2 linked regions of the Rhinolophus ferrumequinum genome follow. The protein of the gene in region 1 interacts with the protein of each later gene in a pairwise test. Links are inferred from orthologs where the notes say so. Each region holds a gene or a part of one and is shown in the gene's direction. Other genes may lie near its edges. The genes, in order: TARBP2 and ZNF346.

Region 1 (8,712 bases):
TAAACAGCAGTAATGTTAGAGCACCTGGTCATTCCGCTACCGGATCCTTCTTTCCCCAGCAAATCCTGCAGTCTCACCTCTTCTGGACCTCTTCTGGACGGAGGGGGAAGGCCTAATTCTCTGTAGCCCATCCCCTGCCAACATGGTCCAGGACCACCCCTCAGCCATACCCTTTAAGTTCTGAGGGGAAGGAGAAAGTAGGAGCAAGATATGATGGGCCAATAGGCTCATGAAGGGTCTCTCCTGCTCAGGACCTCAGGAGAACCTGAAGAAGTTTAGTGCACTTGAACAAATAGTTCCTGAGCTGAACGTGCATTTTAAAAGATCTGGAGGGACAGCCAGTTAGCTCAGTTGGTTAGGGCATGGTGCTGGTAGCGCCAAGGTTGCCATCGATCCCTGCATGGGCCATGGTAAGCTGCGCCCTCCTTAAAAAAAAAAAAGATCTTGAAGGATAGATACCAAAGTGTAACATTTTCTAGGTTGGTAGAATGGTGGTTGTTTATCTTCTTGCGGCTTATCTATATTTTCTACTATTTCAGTAATGACTTTGAATTGTTTTAAAATGAGAAATTTAAAAATCTATTTTAAATCGAAAAAGAGGACGTCAAAATAAGAGTGTCCATCCATCCCTATCACCTCCCGTGTTTCCCTGAAAATAAGACCTAGCCGGACAATCAGCTCTAATGCGCCTTTTGGAGCAAAAATTAATATAAGACCCGGTATTATATTATATTATACCCGGTATTATATAATAATATTATTTTATTATTAGATTATACCCAGTATTATATAATAATATTATTATTATATTATTATATTATACCGGGTCTTAGAGTAAAATATAGCTTGGGACGACAGTGTGCTATAGAGAGAGGGTGGATAACCTGAGAATCAGAGGCTTGGTTGACATCCTGTCTCTGCTCCTGACCATTTGGGCAACCTGGAGTATGAGACTTCTTAACAAACCTCACAGGTCCTTCATCTCTCAGTGGGGACAGTGATGCCTATGACACACAGTGGTAATGCAATATACCTGGGGGGCCAAAAAATATATAATATATACACGACTTGGATTCATCTTTTGTTATTGGTATATATTGAATATTACAATTTTAATAGTTTTTCCCTTTCTTAAAATATATATACATTGTTTTGGCACCCTCTGTCTAATGTGGTAAGAACACAGGCTCTAGGTCCAACAGACCCTAAGCTCTAACTATATACTGATTTTTTCACTTTGAACAGATTACTTAAGTTTAGTTTCCTCATCGCTAAAATAGAGACAATGATAACACTACCTAATGCTTAGTCCTGCTATGCGCATTACTGAGATAATTCAAATAAAGTTCTGGGCCCAGGACTTGGCACCCAGGAAGCCCTCTCTAAGCATTAGCCGTGTGGAAAGTGCCTGACAAGCACTCGTGGGGGTTTTATACATGTGATTCCTATTCCTTCTTTCCCTTTTCCTCCTCTGCAGAGCAAGAGGCAGTAGGGAGGGTACAAGTGGAAAGGGAAGTGGACAAACACGAGAGGGGAAAAAAGAGCAAAGAAAGAAGACGGCAAAGGACGAGGGCTCTTTATCCTGGGTGAGCCTGGGTCTCATCTGCAATGGCGTCCCTGCCTCATCACCTCCTCCAACACACACGACCCTAGTCCTTCTGGGAGCAAATGAAGCCGACAGACCAGTCTCTGTGGCCAATCCCTCATGACACAGCCCCTGCGTCCCCTACTCCATCAGCTCCACATTTTACTCCTTCTGCCCCAGCAGGGACTCCTGCAGGGGTTGATTCCCTCATCCCTTCTTTCTCCCCAGCCCAGGCAGGGGAGACATAGTTGAGCACACGTGAGCCATTTTGCCACTAGGTGAGTCTAGGATGGTGGGTACTAGCAAAGCCAGACTACCATATGTCACCTCTAGGGGAAGGAGTGGGAGACAGCAGTTGGTGTTTGGAGGGGTTCTTCCATCCTCAGCAGTAAGGACACTCAGGAAATCCTGAGCCACTTCCTTACTTAAATTTCTTGCCTCCTCTGCCCATATCTGGGTTTAATTAGGGGATGGATATTTAGTTGTGTGTTTTTATGTGTGCTGGAGTTTAGGCATCACACCGTTGGTCTTCTTAGCATCACCTCATCCCCACTGTGAGTGGGTGAGTGGCAGGGTTGAAAGGACAGCTGCTTTTCTCCAACCTTAAGTGTGAGGTAGGAGAGAGCAGGCCCTAAAGCTCAGAGGAACTTCAGTGTCTGGATAGGAAGGCCCAGGGCGCACTTGGGCCCTTTCCTTCCTCAATTCTTTCTGCTCGCCTACCCGTGGTATGACCCTCTTCCCTTAGTATAACCCTCTGGCCGAAAATCAGAGCTCCCAGCACCACGGGGTCCACCCTGCAAGTTGGAAGGGAGCTGTGAGTTGTTTAGAGGGAGGCACTGACTGGCTTGAGAGGACTCTGGGTGGGGGAGAGACCTCATGTGCACTCTCTCCTGGTTGAGGGTAAGTCACCCACTCCCCAAGAGAGCAGGACACCCCACTATTTCCTTCCACTGTCTGTGGAGCCTCTGGCCCCTTCTCTTACCTCCCCTCAGCCAAGGCCGTGGTATCAGGAGTCTTAACTCTGTGGAAAGGATTCTTGCGTATTTTTAAGCCAAGGAGTTTGAGGAAGGAGTGTGTGGGGAAAAGGGAGGAGGTTCTGAAAGGCCTGGGCTGGGGAAATGGGTTAGGGGCGCCAGAGGAGATGGAGAGGAGGAGGAAGGAGAAAGCCACATCTGAATGGGGGAGGGGAGGATGCAACAGCTGGATGGAGGTGAATGCCACAGCTGGAGGGGATTAGGGGCTTCACAGTGGGAAGGGGAGGAGGACCATCCCTGGGCATCCAGGAACAGGTGCTTTTTGCCTATAATCTTCAGGTGCAGCCCGATAAGTGTGTGTGGGAGGAGGGTGAGGGGCTCAGTGGGCACATAAGGCCTTGTCCTTCCTTTCCTTCCCTCTCAGGGACCAAAACTCTTCCTCCTCCTTCCCTCGCCCTTCTTGCGGATGAGTGGGAGGAGAAGAGGATGGTCTCTTTCCCGCTGTCCTTTAAGTCTGTTCCCCAGTCATCTCCCCACCCCATGCAGTCCTTTCCAGCTCTTCAGGCCCTTCATCTCCAAGCTGGGCCGCGGTGTCCCTCCGCTCCGTTCCCCTCCTTTACACCCCCACAGGCGTCGGGTCCAGGTCCCCAGTTCCTCCATCCCCACAGCCTCAGCATCCCCGTTCCACCTTCCCCCACCCCGCCACATCTGCATCCCGACCCTCCCTCGGCACCGGGATCACAGGACCCGGACCCATCCCTGCCACCCACCCCCCACAACTCGGCCCGGCTCTCACCTCAGGGGCTCCGCGGCCGCAGCACAAAAGGCGGCGCTGCTGCAGCTCGGCTCCGGATGCTGCTCCCGCCTCCTCCTCCACCTCCTTCTCCTCCTCCTTCTCTCCTCCCCCCCGCTGCCCTCGACTGGACCCGGGGCGCTGTCACAGGCGATGCTCGTGCAGTGTCCGGGTGTACGCCCCAGATTTCTCCCCCCACCCCCCGACCCCTAGCCCCGTCCCCACTCGGCTTGAACTCCCGCTCCTTCCTAGGCCCCTGCCTCTAGCCCCCCGGGACGGACACGCCCTGAGCGGGGATGCTGCGCTGGAGCCGTCGGCCTCTTAAAGGAGCCCGCTGCAGCCGTCCGGTGTGCTCCAGGCTGGATGCGGCCCGTCTGGACCCCTCACCTCCCTGCTGGCGGTCCCACCTTAGGCATTATGGTGATTCCGTAGGAGCCTCCTATGGCCGGTCTTATAAACTCCCTCCTATACCCTGAGACAGTAGCCCCTCAGATGGGACACCCTCCTACCCCCCGCTCTAGAGTTGCTCTCCTTGTCATACTAATTTTGCTAGCTCTCCATCACCTAATTGTCACCACTCCAGTTCCACCCAATGGGAATCCACTCAGCTCAGTGCTCTGTCCCCATCCCGTGTTCCTGGATGACCCCTCATTATCATTCCAAAATTCCTTTGGATATCCACCTCAGACCAAGCCGTGTCGTCCCTGACCCATTCTCAGAACACTCATTAGAATCACATTTTTCGTGATTTCTTTCTCTCCAAGGTCACAAGATTTCCCCCTATCTTTCAGCCCAGTGGTTGTGAGACTTTGGGGAGGAGGGAATGCTCTGACAGCCAGATTAGTCGGTTAGTTTTAGGAGGCCAAAAACCTTCTCTTGCCCAGAGAACCCCAAGACCCACGGCAGAGAGAACAGAACCACCATTAGTCCTTCCAATTCTGTCGTCCCACTACAGTCTCATCCTCAGGCTTCAGAGGACGTCTCCCGGCCAGCGACAGAAAGGTTCACTACGGCCATTCTAAAAAGGCTTTAAAAAAGAAGCGTAAATCCGACAGGCTGCGGGGCACAGTTAAGGGGAAGAGAAGTGAAGGACAACTTAGGAAAAGAAAGCAGGTTCTGTGACACGAATGCCCGAGGGCCAGGGGCTTATGCCGAGGGCTGAGGCGGAAACTGAGATGGACCTGGACGAACAACTGCCCCCGCGCTCTGAGGAGGGCTAAGAACAGTCCCCTCCCGCGTCCTAGTAAGGCCCACCCTTCCACCCTGTAAAGAGGAAGGATCCGATAGCAGTTTCGCCCCTAGACCAATCACAACCTTTTCTCAAGAAAGAGGCAGGATCAAGGGAGATGACTTTCCTTGTCCCTGCCCTCTAGGTGAAGTAACCAATCGCAATCCACCTAGAGCAAGTAATCGCAATCGGAAATAACCAATTACGCCGGGCAGCTTCTCGTGCATGCCTGACCCTGCCCCTCCAGCTGCGGCAAAGATGGCGCGCGAACTCCTGGGTTCTGTAGTTTTCTCAGGAGTCGAAGGCCCCTTTCCCCCACTACTCGTTAGCCCTTACCACCCCGCCCCCAGTCGCTTCCACTCAGCTAGTGCGCATGCCCACAGCGCCCGCCCAAGAGAGAGGAGACGCGGAAGGAAGGTGGCGGGAACGATATTAAAAAAACAAAACAAAAAAACCACTTCTCAGCTCTGGAAGCGACTGCAGAAAGATTCGCTCCTCCCAGAAGGAGGTGCTGGCCGCGAGGGCGAACCACGCGGAGCGTTGTGGGGCGGAGAGCTCCTGATGGAGACTCAAGGAATCGGGTGGGCGGGGGACTCCATATCCCAGCATGCCCCGCGGCGGGCCCGACCGGCCGCGACTCCGGGCTTGGCCCCGGCCCTAGCTCGTTGGCGGTGTATTGGGGCGCGTGGAGGCAGCAGTCACGGTGGCGCCCGCGGGGACGGAGGAGGGAATGAGTGAAGAGGAGCAGGGCTCCGGCACTACCACGGGCTGCGGGCTGCCCAGGTGAGCCGCCTCGTGCCGATCGCTGCAGGGCGAAGAGCGTGGTGCGATTTGGGGGGGTAGCGGCGCGGCCCCGCCCCAGCATGCATCTGGCCTGGGGGTTCTTCCCGGCAAGCACTGGGGTAGTGGGCCGTGGTTCCCAGCATGCACCGAGCAGTGGCCAGTGTCTCTAGCTTGAAACAATTTGGGGCTGGCCGAGTCTCCCAGATTGCACTAGGGCACTGGGCTGTATGCCCCCCGACGTTCAGTACACTTGGTGGGTACTGGGTTCCTGGCCTGCACTGTGTCAGGGTACGTGCACTTCCAAGCTGCACTCTGGTACAGGATCCCCCGCCTTAACTGAGACAGGAACAGTGCATTCCCCGCTTGCCCCGGGGCAGTGGACCCTGCTTTCCCAGCCTGCATCTCTACTCCAAATTGAACCCAGCCAATGGCTGCTGTACTGCCTGGGGTCCCGTGGACCCTGTGTTCCCCATAGTGTGCTTGGGTCTGATAAAACAGTGCTTGGCCAGGTGGGTGCAGAGAGGGGAGGTGTGATGAGGGTCTGTGCCCCTACCCCAGTATAGAGCAAATGCTGGCAGCCAACCCGGGCAAGACCCCGATCAGCCTTCTGCAGGAGTATGGGACCAGAATAGGGAAGACGCCCGTGTACGACCTTCTCAAAGCCGAGGGCCAAGCCCACCAGCCTAATTTCACCTTTCGGGTCACCGTTGGCGACACCAGCTGCACTGGTGAGGAAGGCTTGGGCAGCCTAGCTGGGGTGTGCGTTCACAGGGCCCCATTGGCTTTATTTTTTGGAATCTCTTCACAGTACTTTTCTTCAAAGGCCAGTAAGGGAAAGAATTTTCAGGGGGAAAGGCCACTGACTGGATTGGGAGAACAGGTCTGTGAGGAGGTGGGTAGGGCTTGGGAGAATTAGAGGAACAAGCAGGACTGCCACCGTGACCTGGTAGGTCATCATCATCCTAGAGGAAAAAGTAAGAGGAGATAAATGGAAATCGCAGTGAAGTATTGGGGAGTGCCTGCTGTGTTCTAGGTGCTTAACCAAATTCCTACTTAATCATAAGCCTCAGTCTAATCCAGTAATGTAGGGGGTGGTATCCTCATGTTGAATTTGAGGAGATGGAGGCTCAGAGAGATCCAATGACTTCTTCACATGCTTAGTTAGTGGCAGAGCCAGGCTTTGACTCTAGAGCCTACCCTCTCTCTATTTTTTCAGCCATCTATTTATTGAGAGAAAAGAAAGTGCTTCCCAGAGGAAAGTAAGGCAGAGAAAGAATCTCCACCTAAGGTGTCTGAGCTCAGGAGCAGTTCTTGATTTGGGGAGCTCATGGAAAGATAAGGGCCCTTCCTTCCAGCAATTAGTGTAACACTTCCAGTCTTGGGCAGGGGGGAGGTTGGTGAGAAGGGATTTGGTTGACTTCCTGTGGTTGTGGGGAGAGAGGCTGTGGGATGCTGGTTTCTCTTCTGTCCTTCCAGTGATCTCCAGTATTGCCCACACCCCCTCTCTCAGGTCAGGGCCCCAGCAAGAAGGCAGCCAAGCACAAGGCAGCTGAGGTGGCCCTCAAACACCTCAAAGGGGGGAGCATGCTGGAGCCGGCCCTGGAGGACAGCAGGTGAGGGAGGAACAGCTGCGGCATCCTAGAGGCCCTGCCAAGAGCCCAGGCCCCTGCACTAGCCCTCTGCCCACTAGGCCTGGCCTGGTGATACTTAGCCACCTTGACCTGGCCTCTTCCTAAGACTCCTCTGGACTCGAGCAGGAAGCTTCCAGGGCTCCTGCTGCCGTGAAGGATTCTGGGGGGAATGGCCAGCCCCACTGAGGGACTGTGGTTTGGGGCTCAGGCTAGGGAGGGAGAGGGGTGGAGGCTGAGGGAGTTGCTCCCCAACATACCTCCTCTCTCTATCAAGGTGTCCTTCCCTCTTCTGCACTCAGGTCAGAGATTGTTGCTCCCATGGTTCTTGGGTACAAAAAGACCCTCCTTTTCCTTTTCTCTATCTTTTTGATCTGGTAATTTGGCAGCAATGGATCCCAGGAGGAAGAGCTGGTGGTTGAGCTTCTCTGAGTCTTTGGCTCAAGTGGGAAGGACTTTTCTTAGGGGATGGGCAGATCAGAAGGACCTGGGTCTCCCACCCTTCCTTTACTCCCCCCACCCCACATGGGTGTGAATCAAAGGCCCCCTTCCCCTCGGGAAGTTCTTTTTCTCCCCTAGACTCTTCACTGCCTGAGGACGTTCCAGTTTTTACTGCTGCAGTGGCTGCTACTCCTGTTCCATCTGCTGTCCCAACCAGGTATCTTGTCTCCTGACTGCCTGAAGGGGGGAGGAAAGGGTCCTGGCTGTTGGTCCTCAGCCCTTGGACCCAGGCTGGCCAGGCATGAGGAAGTTTGAGAATAAACAGAGTCTGGAGTAATTGGGGACCAGACATGGAAGAAGTTGCACTAGCTGGTAAGCTCTTGGGAGAGGATGTAATTAATGATTTTTAAATAGCCATATGGATGATGTTTGACTATGTTTAAGGGTCTTGCAGGTACCATTTTCTTCTGAGTTGGCCCCATGATAGTCCTGTGTTTGAGTCCCATCAGGTGCTTCCAGGGACTGGATATACAGCCCCACTCCCACTGTCCTGGCGAGGTGACGATCAAGTGTTCTAGAAAATCGAAATGGGCCTGGGACCTGGAGGAGACCTCAGTTGTGGGGGAGGGGGAAGGAAGCAGTCTGGATGTTTGGACAAACAGCTGACTGCCTGGCGGGAAGTAGGGAGATGGTAGTGGGGAAAAGCAAAACAAGGCTTAGGACTCATGGGCAGCCTCAGAAGGAACGAGCTCCCTCAGCTTTGGCTCCGGGCCCTTTTTCCCTTAGGAGCACCCCCATGGAGGTGCAGCCCCCCGTCTCCCCTCAGCAGTCTGAGTGCAACCCTGTTGGTGCTCTGCAGGTGTGCCCCCTGTCCTCATTTCCTGTGCATGCCTGTCTTCCCTTGAACCAGGGGCCATGAGGGAAGGTTATGGGGTTGGTTACCCTGTTCTGAAGGCTTTTTCCACACCTTTATTCCTCCTTTAACCTGGAATCTGAGGCTCCTAGGGTAGGAGGGAGAGGATGTTTGGATTCTTTTCTCACTTGTCCTTGTGTACCCTTGTTTCTCCCTTCCAAGGAGCTGGTGGTGCAGAAGGGCTGGCGGTTACCCGAGTACACGGTGACCCAGGAGTCTGGGCCAGCGCACCGCAAAGAATTTACCATGACCTGCCGAGTGGAGCGTTTCATTGAGATTGGTAACTGGGCAGAGGGGAGTTCTTGCAGCTCCTATCCTCCAGCACCCCAGGGCCACAGGCAGCCCCCAGGCTCTCTGTTACAGCCCA
Region 2 (9,199 bases), on another chromosome or scaffold:
GTCTGGTTGGGGCACAGATGCTTGGGAGAGTATCAGAAGACCATGGAGAGGGAAGGAGTCAGACTATAAACGGCCACTTACACCACAGCAGGACATTTTACCTTTGTCCTAAAAGTAATGGGGAACCATTGAAGTACTGTAGGTTCCGGAGTACAGCACAGAACCTAGCTACAATAGACTGGCTGTTTATGTCCTCCCCAAATTTGTATATTGAAATCCTAATCCCCAGTGGGATAGTATTAGGGGATCTATGGTATTTTGTTATAGCAGCCTGAACGGACTAAGACACTGGCACATAATGTACAAGGCCTTAAATAAAGCCTGCTGATTAGATGTGACTCAAACCACTATGCCAGTTCAAGATCTATGCCAATCTTGGCAATCCTTCAGTAGAGATGACAGAGCTGCGTTGGATCATCTTAGGCCATTGTAGATTTCTTTGGGTACATTAAACTAGACGAAATGCACAGACTATTAATTGAAACTGGTCCTAGAAAATATGGAGAAAAGTGTGGTTTAGCTGATACAGTCTTCATCAAGATGAAACTGGAACCTAACATTAATTTGTTATATTTTCAGAAAAAATATAGCTTTCAGAATAAACTGGTATGTGCCAGGCAATGTGTTATGTAGTTTACGGGAATTATTTTCATTAATCTTCACAATCACCATTTAAAGTGGGTACCATTTTCTCATTTTACAGATGAAGAAGCAAACTTACAAATGTTAAATAATTTACATAAAATCATAGATCATGAGTGCAGAACGAAGCAGCTGATGTCAAGATGAGTGCCTCCCAGATTCAACTGACGGCCTGTTTGTTTTCAGAGATTATCGGAGTTAATCCCCATCCTGCTCTCCTCAGATATCATCAGGGTCCAATACATCATAGCCACCCATTGCACCTCACGTAGCTCTGAACATCCACCCCTCCAGCCTTGCCAAGGGTGTCCCGACACAGCCTGGAATCACAGTCCCTGCACCACCACTGGGGTGATGAGAAGCAGTAGCCTTATCTGTTCATTCCAATTTTCCACACAGATATGCTTATTTCCTAAGTGGGCTGTGCCACCGAAAACGTTGAGAAGCTCTACATGAATCTAATCTAACCCTCCTCTTACCCCTCCTTCTCAGAATCCTCTGGAAATCCCAATCTGTGATCAACAAACTCCCCTATACCCTCAGTCGTCCTTGGAAAGGCGCTGAATTAAAACCTGGCGTCCCCTGAGGATATTGTTTCCTGCAGGCCAGAAGACCTTACAAAATAACCCAGCCCAAGAAAGACTGCAGCAAAGATGTATCCCCAGAGTGTGGCTGTTCCACAGTCTTCCTCAGGAGCACCCCAGCTATTTGAGGTCAATCTCAGGTTCTAAACCAAACAATACTTATTCACATCCTGTTAGTAAAATCTAATCTATGACCACCTCTAATAGCTAGAGATGTGATCACAGAGCTGAGAAGTAGAAAGACTCATATGGGGTAACCCAGATACTATCATGATCCCCACAACTGGGGCTTTGTTGTCCTACTCCATCCATACTAACCTTAACCATGTTTTATTTTCTGTATTTTATGATACTTTGATATATTGGGGCCTTGTGGACCAAGGTAGAACTGCCCCTCTCAGGGTTAGCTAATTCCTAACAAAAGCAAATAATCTGCCTTCAAGCACACCTTTTATTTGTAAACCAACCAATCCAAAGTCCACACCCCCAACCACCTCTTTAACTCTCACACCCCAAGTCAGTATTCCCCCTGCCCTAAATCACCCCAGACAACTAGGGACCCACTCCTACAGCCCAGAGCCTGATGAAATTATTCAGACTAGCCAATCCTAAACTGCTTACCTTGCCTCATACATTCCTTCCTTCAGAAACCACAATAAAGTCTCTGGGCCTTGCTCTCCCTTTTCTCCTTCTGCCTCCAGAACAACCCTGGTACTTCCTCATATAGTCCTGCATGGTGTGGTGTGCTCCCCTTCTATTTTGAACCATAACTAAACTTTCAATGGCATTGAACTTGTGTGTCATCACTCAGTCACCTCTATAAATTAAATCCTGGGTGCAATCAAAACAGTTATCACTTATATTATAGCAGTTAAAACATACTCTCAGATATTAAGTATACAGTAGATACTTTCTTGTCTGGAGTTTAATGTTCCTGAGAGCAGGAACTATATTTTACTAAATTCTGTAGTGTGGGTTACCATGCACATGTGCACGCATGCACACAGAGTGAGTGTTTACCCAACTGAAGTATCTGTTGAACTGTGGCCAATTCCTGTCTCTTGGAAAAGCCATTTCCTTGGGATTGTTCTTCTCCCATAGCAACAACACATAGAACATGTTGGGAAATGGTTCTTGTTTTCCACAAAGAAGAAATAAAAAACCAGCCCCATAAACATAAGGCGTCATCACCTGCACTGCTAGGTCCCAGCAAGGAGTCCAGGCCTAGGCATTATTGGAAGGACTTACACAAATGCACAGCAGAAAACTGGTGATAGTGAGGGCTGTTCAGAAACTCAGAGCTGTAGCTCGGGACTCTGCTCAGTGGCACAGGGGACATACTGTGACAGCATTCATTGGAAAGTAAATAGAAAGTAAATAGTAAATTTTTAGCATTTAATTGGATTGAGAATAGGGGGAGGGAGACTGTTTTACAATATACACCGCATCTTAAGTACTCCACTCCCAGGATGTGCTGCTCCATTGTGTTAAAAAATATCCTCGTGAGTTCTGGGACTTTAACAAAAATGCCCTGTATCCTTTGTGATTTCTAGCTGAATAACTCATGCTATGCAAATATAAGTAGAAATCTTCTTTAAGATAAATAAGTAATGTATAATCATTGGCTTTTAGGCTGGTCATCCAGTATTGGCAAAAGGATTTTTGCCATGGATTTACAGTCTGAGGACCAGTGTTCAAACATAAACTCCGTCACTAACCAGATATGTGACCCTGATAAAACTTTCACTTCTCCCAGTCTTTTTCTTTATTGTTAAATACGTAGGTATCTCTCATTGGAGAACCACCTTGAGGATTTAATGTTATAATGTCTGTTAAAGGTGCTTCATAACCTATAAAGCACTGCACAAACATTAGTCATCTACGGCACTGGAAGTTTCAGAGCCGGGCATGAGGCCTGACACGGAGTTTGTGCTCAATATTTGTAGTATAAATGAGTAAATCCCAGTAATGAGCTGTGTGATCTCAGGCAAGAAATAGCTCTGTCTCTATCTCTCTTTGGCCTCCTCTGATACCACTTTTCCCCTTGTTCACTGAGCTCCAGCCATACTATCCTTTTTCCTGTTCTTCCAACACAGTAAGTTCATTCCTGCCACAGGGCCTTTGCGCCTGCTGTTTCCTCTGCCTGGAATGCTCTTCCCAAGCTCGTTGGCCATCCCATGTTCATCAATCAGGTCTTAAGTCAAATGTCATTTCTTCAGAGCTTTTCTCTGACTACTCTAATATTCCTTCCACAATATTCACCCAAGATGTTTTACTGTTTTAATTTCTCCTTATCATTTTTTACTATCTGTTGACTTACTACACTCTCCTCAACCAGAATAAAAAATGTTCTCTTAGAGCTTCCCTATCTGTCTAGCTCACCACTGTATTCCAGTGCCCAAAATAACATCTAGCTAATAGTACACCCTAAATAAACATTTGAATAAATGAGGTTGAAATAAGGTAATTATATCAAAAGTTTCATTCATTCAACAAATATTTTGTATGTACCCATGAGGGTCCAGGCTCTGTTTCAAAGTGCTGGGGATTCAGCTGAGAACGAAGTAGAGAAAAATCTCTCCTTTTCTGAGGCTTGCCTTTTTTTTTTTTTTAAATTGGGAAATATTGGGGAACAGTGTGTTTTTCCAGGACCCATCAGCTCCATGTCAAGTCGTTGTTTTCAATCTAGTTGTGGAGGGCACAGCTCATTAGCCCATGTGGGAATCGAACTGGCAACCTGGGTGTTATGAGCACTGCATTCTAACCACTGAGCCAACCAAGAGCTTGCCTTTTCAGTGGGGAGACAAACAATAAACAAGATAAAAAGTAAAATATAAACTATGATCTGATAATGGTAAGTGTTAAGGAGGAATAAAAATAAAGCAGGAATGGATATGAAGTGTATGTGAAGGGGTAAAACTTAGGTAAGTTAGCCAGAGAAGGAAATCAGAGACAACCATGAAGACACATGGGGGAAATTATATCCTGGAGGCCAGGGTAACTGGGACAGGAATGAAGGGATTGGAGGCTAACACAATGGGAAATGAGGGAAGTTAAGTCAATTGTGTAGGGTCCTGTTGGCTAAACTAAGGACTTTGGCTTTTTTGAAGAGTGAAATAAGGTGTTGGAGAATTTGAGCACCGTAGTGTCATGATATGGCTTGTTCCGAGATGATCGCTGGGTCTGCTGTGCTGGGAATACTTGAAGAGTAAGGAGAGGAACCAGTGAGGACTCCACTACAACAACCTTGGCAAGAGATGGTGGCTCCGAGAGACTGCGAGAGGGCCAAGTGTGGGATTGGAAGACAGAATTTCAGTTTGACAGTTCTGCTGGAGAGGAGTTTAGAGGGAGTTCAGGTCTGGGGGTTAACACTTGGAACTCAAACAGTATCTATTAGAATCATGGAGATGGAGTCCTGGCTCTACCACTTGCTAGTAACGAACTCTTGAGTAAACCATTTCTAGCTTTTTTTTTAAAGATTTTATTGGGGAAGGGGAACAGGACTTTATTGGGGAACAGTGTGTACTACCAGGACTTTTTCCAAGTCAAGTTGTTGTCCCTTCAATCTTAGTTGTGGAGGGTGCCATTCACAATCTATTTATTGTCCTTTCAGTCTTAGTTGTGGAGGGCGCAGCTCAGCTCCAGGTCCAGTTGCCGTTCCTAGTTGCAGGGGGCGCAGCCCACCATCCCTTGCGGGAGACGAGGAATCAAACTGGCAACCTTGTGGTTGAGAGGCCGCGCTCCAACCAACTGAGCCATCCTGGAGCCTCAGCAGCAGCTCAGCTCAAGGTGCCATGTTCAATTTTAGTTGCAGGGGGCACAGCCCACCATCCCTTGCAGGACTTGAGAATCGAGCTGGCAACCTTGTGGTTGAGAGGATGTACTCCAACCAACTGAGCCAGCCAGGAAGCAGCTCAGCTCAAGGTGCTGTGTTCAATCTTAGTTGCAGGTGATGGAGCCCACCATCCCTTGCAGGACTCGAGGAGCCAAACCAGCAACCCTGTGGTTGAGAGCCCACTGGCCCATGTGGGAATCGAACCAGCAGCCTTCGGAGTTAGGAGCATGGAGCTCTAACCGCCTGAGCCACCAGGCCGGCCCCCATTTCTAGCTTTCGGGTCTCAGTTTCCCTGCCAGTGAAATGGGGAAAATATTCCCACATAACAGGGCCTCACGAGAACGAAATGAGACGTGTCAAAGACTGACCGTGAGCAAGGTGAGAACCCTGAGCCAAGGACTGATGGATACCGTCCCAAACGGAGGGGGCTGCTATGGAACCGGCGACCAACTTCCGACTCCACAACAGATGCTTCGAAGTCCCAACAGCAACGAGGAAAAAAAAGCCCCGGCCGGCACCGCAACGCGGTCTGCGCCGCCCAACCTCGCGAGATTTGTTGGCCCGGCAAAGTCACTCTCCCAGCCACATCTCGCGAGACTAAGGTTCAGGAGAGGCTATCGGCCGGTTAGGGGTTGCGGGGAAGATGGAGTATCCCGCGTTGGGCACGGTGGAGGCCGCGGACAGCGGAGGGGCCCGGCCATACAACATCTCGGAGGAGCGGGAGGGCCGGGAACCAGACCGGCTGCGCTTCGACCGCGAGAGGGCGCGCCGCCTGTGGGAAGCAGTGTCCGGGGCCCAACCAGTGGGGAGGGAGGAAGGTGAGTCCGAGGGTCTCAGAGGCAGGAAGCCCCTAGCCCGCCTGCCCGTTTCGCGGGGAGTGGCGGAAGCCCGGGGCGAGAACGCGGACCAGCCCCCGGGTCTACGGTCACACCCCCTAACTCCTGGCCCGCCCACTTGCGTGACGCGCCGGAGGACTCCATCGGGCCCATGCCCGTGGGCCAGCTCCCCTGAAAATCGAGTCCGCGGCACCCCAAGAATCAGGGCCCCGCGTGCAAATGGTCAAGGGCCTTCTCAAGTTCAGGCCGCCAGTGCTTTCTGCCCTGCATTCTTTACCCACCAGAGCGCAGTTCTTTCCAAGCTCGTGGACTGGAATCCCTCTCCATGCCTTCTGGGAGACCCGAGACTCGTAGCCCCCTCACCGTTTCTCCCTGACTCTCCATCGTCCCAGTCTCCAGGCTCCCCCAGCCCTACTGTCTCTTGCCTCCCTACTCTCATGCCCCACACTTCCAAGGGCTCTAAAAGCCTTCTTACCCCCATGTTCCTCCTGGCCTTGGTGACTGAGCCCTGGTTTACCCGTTTTTAGGTGTCTGGTCTCTGCCAACTGGGTCCCTTTTCTGACATGGGGGCCAGGAGCCTGAGAAACAGGGACACTTCTCCGCTGAAGGTTCCCAGCTGGCTCTGCATTTTACCTGGCAGTGGTAAGATGGAGATGGAAAGAGCTGGCCTGACCTGGTTGTGTGACTCTCTTCACAGTCCTTAGCAGAGGTAGCTGCACAAAAACGGGCTTCTATGCTAATCCTATCATGTGATCTTCAGGGCAATCAGATTTCTGTAACGGTTTGTTTGCTTGCTGAGCAGCCTCTTCTTGTAAAGTTTAATATGTTGCCTGTGGGCTGATTGCCCTGTGATAAAATGGAATTTTTGACCACATCCAGGACTACATATGTTTCAATTTGGGATGGTATACAGACGTATACCCTAGTATATTTCTCCAGTTTAAAAACTAGTCTAGTCTGACTCCTAAATTATTATGTGCCCCCTCTGTCCCTCATACATTCTAACTTGTGTGGTAGAAAGTTGCACCCCGCCCCAACCTGGCAGTTTTCTTTTAATTAATTTGACAAACATTCCTGATGCCTGCTCTACTCCCAAGACTGGCTGAGCATCAGAACTACAGAGATGAGGAAAAGACTGCCCTTGCCCTACAGGAGGGACCTGTAGTCTAGTCCAGGAAGCAGACACCAAAACAGTTTCAGTCTAATGTATAGTAGGAACAGTGGAGAGGAATGCCTAAGAGTTGGGGATGCACAAAAAGAGGAAGTGACCTTTGTCCTCAACCCAGCAGCTGTGTGCTGGAAAGTGAACTGTCTCTTTCCGTGTATATGAATGTACAGTGTCGCTTACAACCCAGTTCATTTCCCTACTCTCTTCGCTTTTGCAATATTTATATGAGGTTTAGGTAGATACCTGTAACCCCAAGTTCTACTTGCTTGGGTTTTTTTTTTCCTTCTCTTAGCACTTTCATTGAGTTAGAATTTACATACCATAAAATTCACCCATTGTAATTATACAATTCAATGATTTTTAGTAAAAGGATAGTTATGTAGCCATAGTCCAGTTTTAGAATATTTCCATCACTCCAGGTCTTTTGTGCTCCTTTATTTTAAATCCCCACTCCTACCTCCTGCCCTAGGCAACCCCTGAACTGTTTTTCTGTCTCTATAAACTTGCCTTTTCTGGACATTTCATATAAATGGCAGCATTCAAATGTAGTATTTTCCATTTGGCTTCTCTCAGCATGTTTTTGAGGTTCAGCCAAATTGTAGTGTGTATTAATACTTCATTCCCTTTCATTGAAAGTAGAATTCCATTATATGGATCTTGTTTTCTTTTATCCTCTGACAATCTGTACCTTTTGGGTGAGCTGTTTAGACTATTCACATTTAATTTAATTATTGTTATGGCCAGATTTACATTTTCCATTTTGGTATTTATCTTCTTTTTGTTTTGTTCTTTTCCTCTTTTACTGGCTTTTGTGTTAAGTATTTTGCAGTGTACCATTTTAGTTCCCCTATTGATTTTTTTTTTAAGTTATTTTCCTAGTGGTGTTTTAGGGACTACAGGATGCATCTTGACTCATCACAGTCTACTTCAAATTAATACTAACTTAATTCTAGTAAAATATAAAAGCATTCCTATAATGTAACTCCTTTCCTCCCCCTCCTTTGTGCTGTTGTTGTCATATATGTCTATATATGTTATAAACCTAATTAAACATTGTCATAATTATTGCTTTATACAATGTTTTTTAAAGAAGAAAATAAGTTAGAAAAAAATATATAATGTCTTTTATATTAACCCACATATTTACCATTTTTGATGTTCTTTATTTTTTCCTCTGAATTCAAGTTATCGTGTATCACTTTCAGCCTGAAGGGCTATTTTAAGTATGTCTTGCAAGGCAGACCTGCTAGCAATGAATTGTCTCAGTCTTTATCTGGGAATGTTTTTATTTTGTCTTCATTCATAAAGGATAGTTGTTATTTTTTTTCTAATAACAGCTTTATTGACACCTGATTCATATACCATAAAATTTGTCCTTTTAAAATGTACATTTAGTATATTCACAGAGTTGTGCAGCCATCACCACTGTCTAATTTCAGAACATTTTCATCACCCCAGAAATATACCCTGTACCCATTAGCAGTCACCACTGGCAAGTGCTTAACCTTTTTTCTGTTCATATGGATTTACCTATTCTGGACATTTCATATAAATGGAATTATATAATATGTGTTCTTTTGCAACTGGCTTCTGTCACTTAGCATAAGATTTGAAGGATAGTTTTGTTGGACATAGAGTTCTTGGTTGATAGTTTTGTTCTTTTTCACTATTTTCCCCATTTTTATTTTTTTATATTAGTTTCAGATGTACAGCATAGTGATTAGTTCACTACTCTGAATATGTCTTCTGGCATTCATTGTTTCAAGATGAGAAGTCATTAATCAAATTATTCCACTGTAGATGATGAGTCATTTTTCTCTTGCTGCTTTCAAGATTTTCTGTCTTTATATTTCAATTGTTTGACTGTGATGTGTCTAGGGGTCAATCTCTTGGTATTTATTTTATTTTGAGGGTCTGAGATATTTGGATATATGGATTAATGTCTTTCTTTGGTCAAATGTGGGGAGTTTTCAGGCCTTATTTCTTCAAATATTTTTTTTTCTGCTGCTTTCTCTTCTCTCCTTCTGAGATTCCCTTATACATATGCTGGTATGCTTGATGTGTCCCACAGGTCTCTGAGGCTCTGCTTGTTATTCTTCAGTTTTCTTTTTTTTTTAATTGGGGAATATAGGGG

Evidence for each region.
Region 2: the proteins of TARBP2 (region 1) and ZNF346 interact in binary tests that used the Homo sapiens proteins (3 or more experiments, as listed by UniProt). The two-hybrid records come from large-scale screens. The link is inferred for Rhinolophus ferrumequinum from reciprocal best matches to the Homo sapiens genes TARBP2 and ZNF346.

What each region holds. Positions count from the first base shown.
Region 1 is NC_046293.1:53,364,102-53,372,813, forward strand, and holds the start of TARBP2 (RISC-loading complex subunit TARBP2), read left to right. Parts: upstream 1-4,957; 5' UTR 4,958-5,310; coding exon 5,311-5,363; intron 5,364-5,921; coding exon 5,922-6,091; intron 6,092-6,873; coding exon 6,874-6,976; intron 6,977-7,553; coding exon 7,554-7,649; intron 7,650-8,218; coding exon 8,219-8,291; intron 8,292-8,507; coding exon 8,508-8,625; intron 8,626-8,712. UniProt on the Homo sapiens protein: Required for formation of the RNA induced silencing complex (RISC). Component of the RISC loading complex (RLC), also known as the micro-RNA (miRNA) loading complex (miRLC), which is composed of DICER1, AGO2 and TARBP2.
Region 2 is NC_046307.1:5,567,163-5,576,361, reverse strand, and holds the start of ZNF346 (zinc finger protein 346), read left to right. Parts: upstream 1-5,674; 5' UTR 5,675-5,704; coding exon 5,705-5,879; intron 5,880-9,199.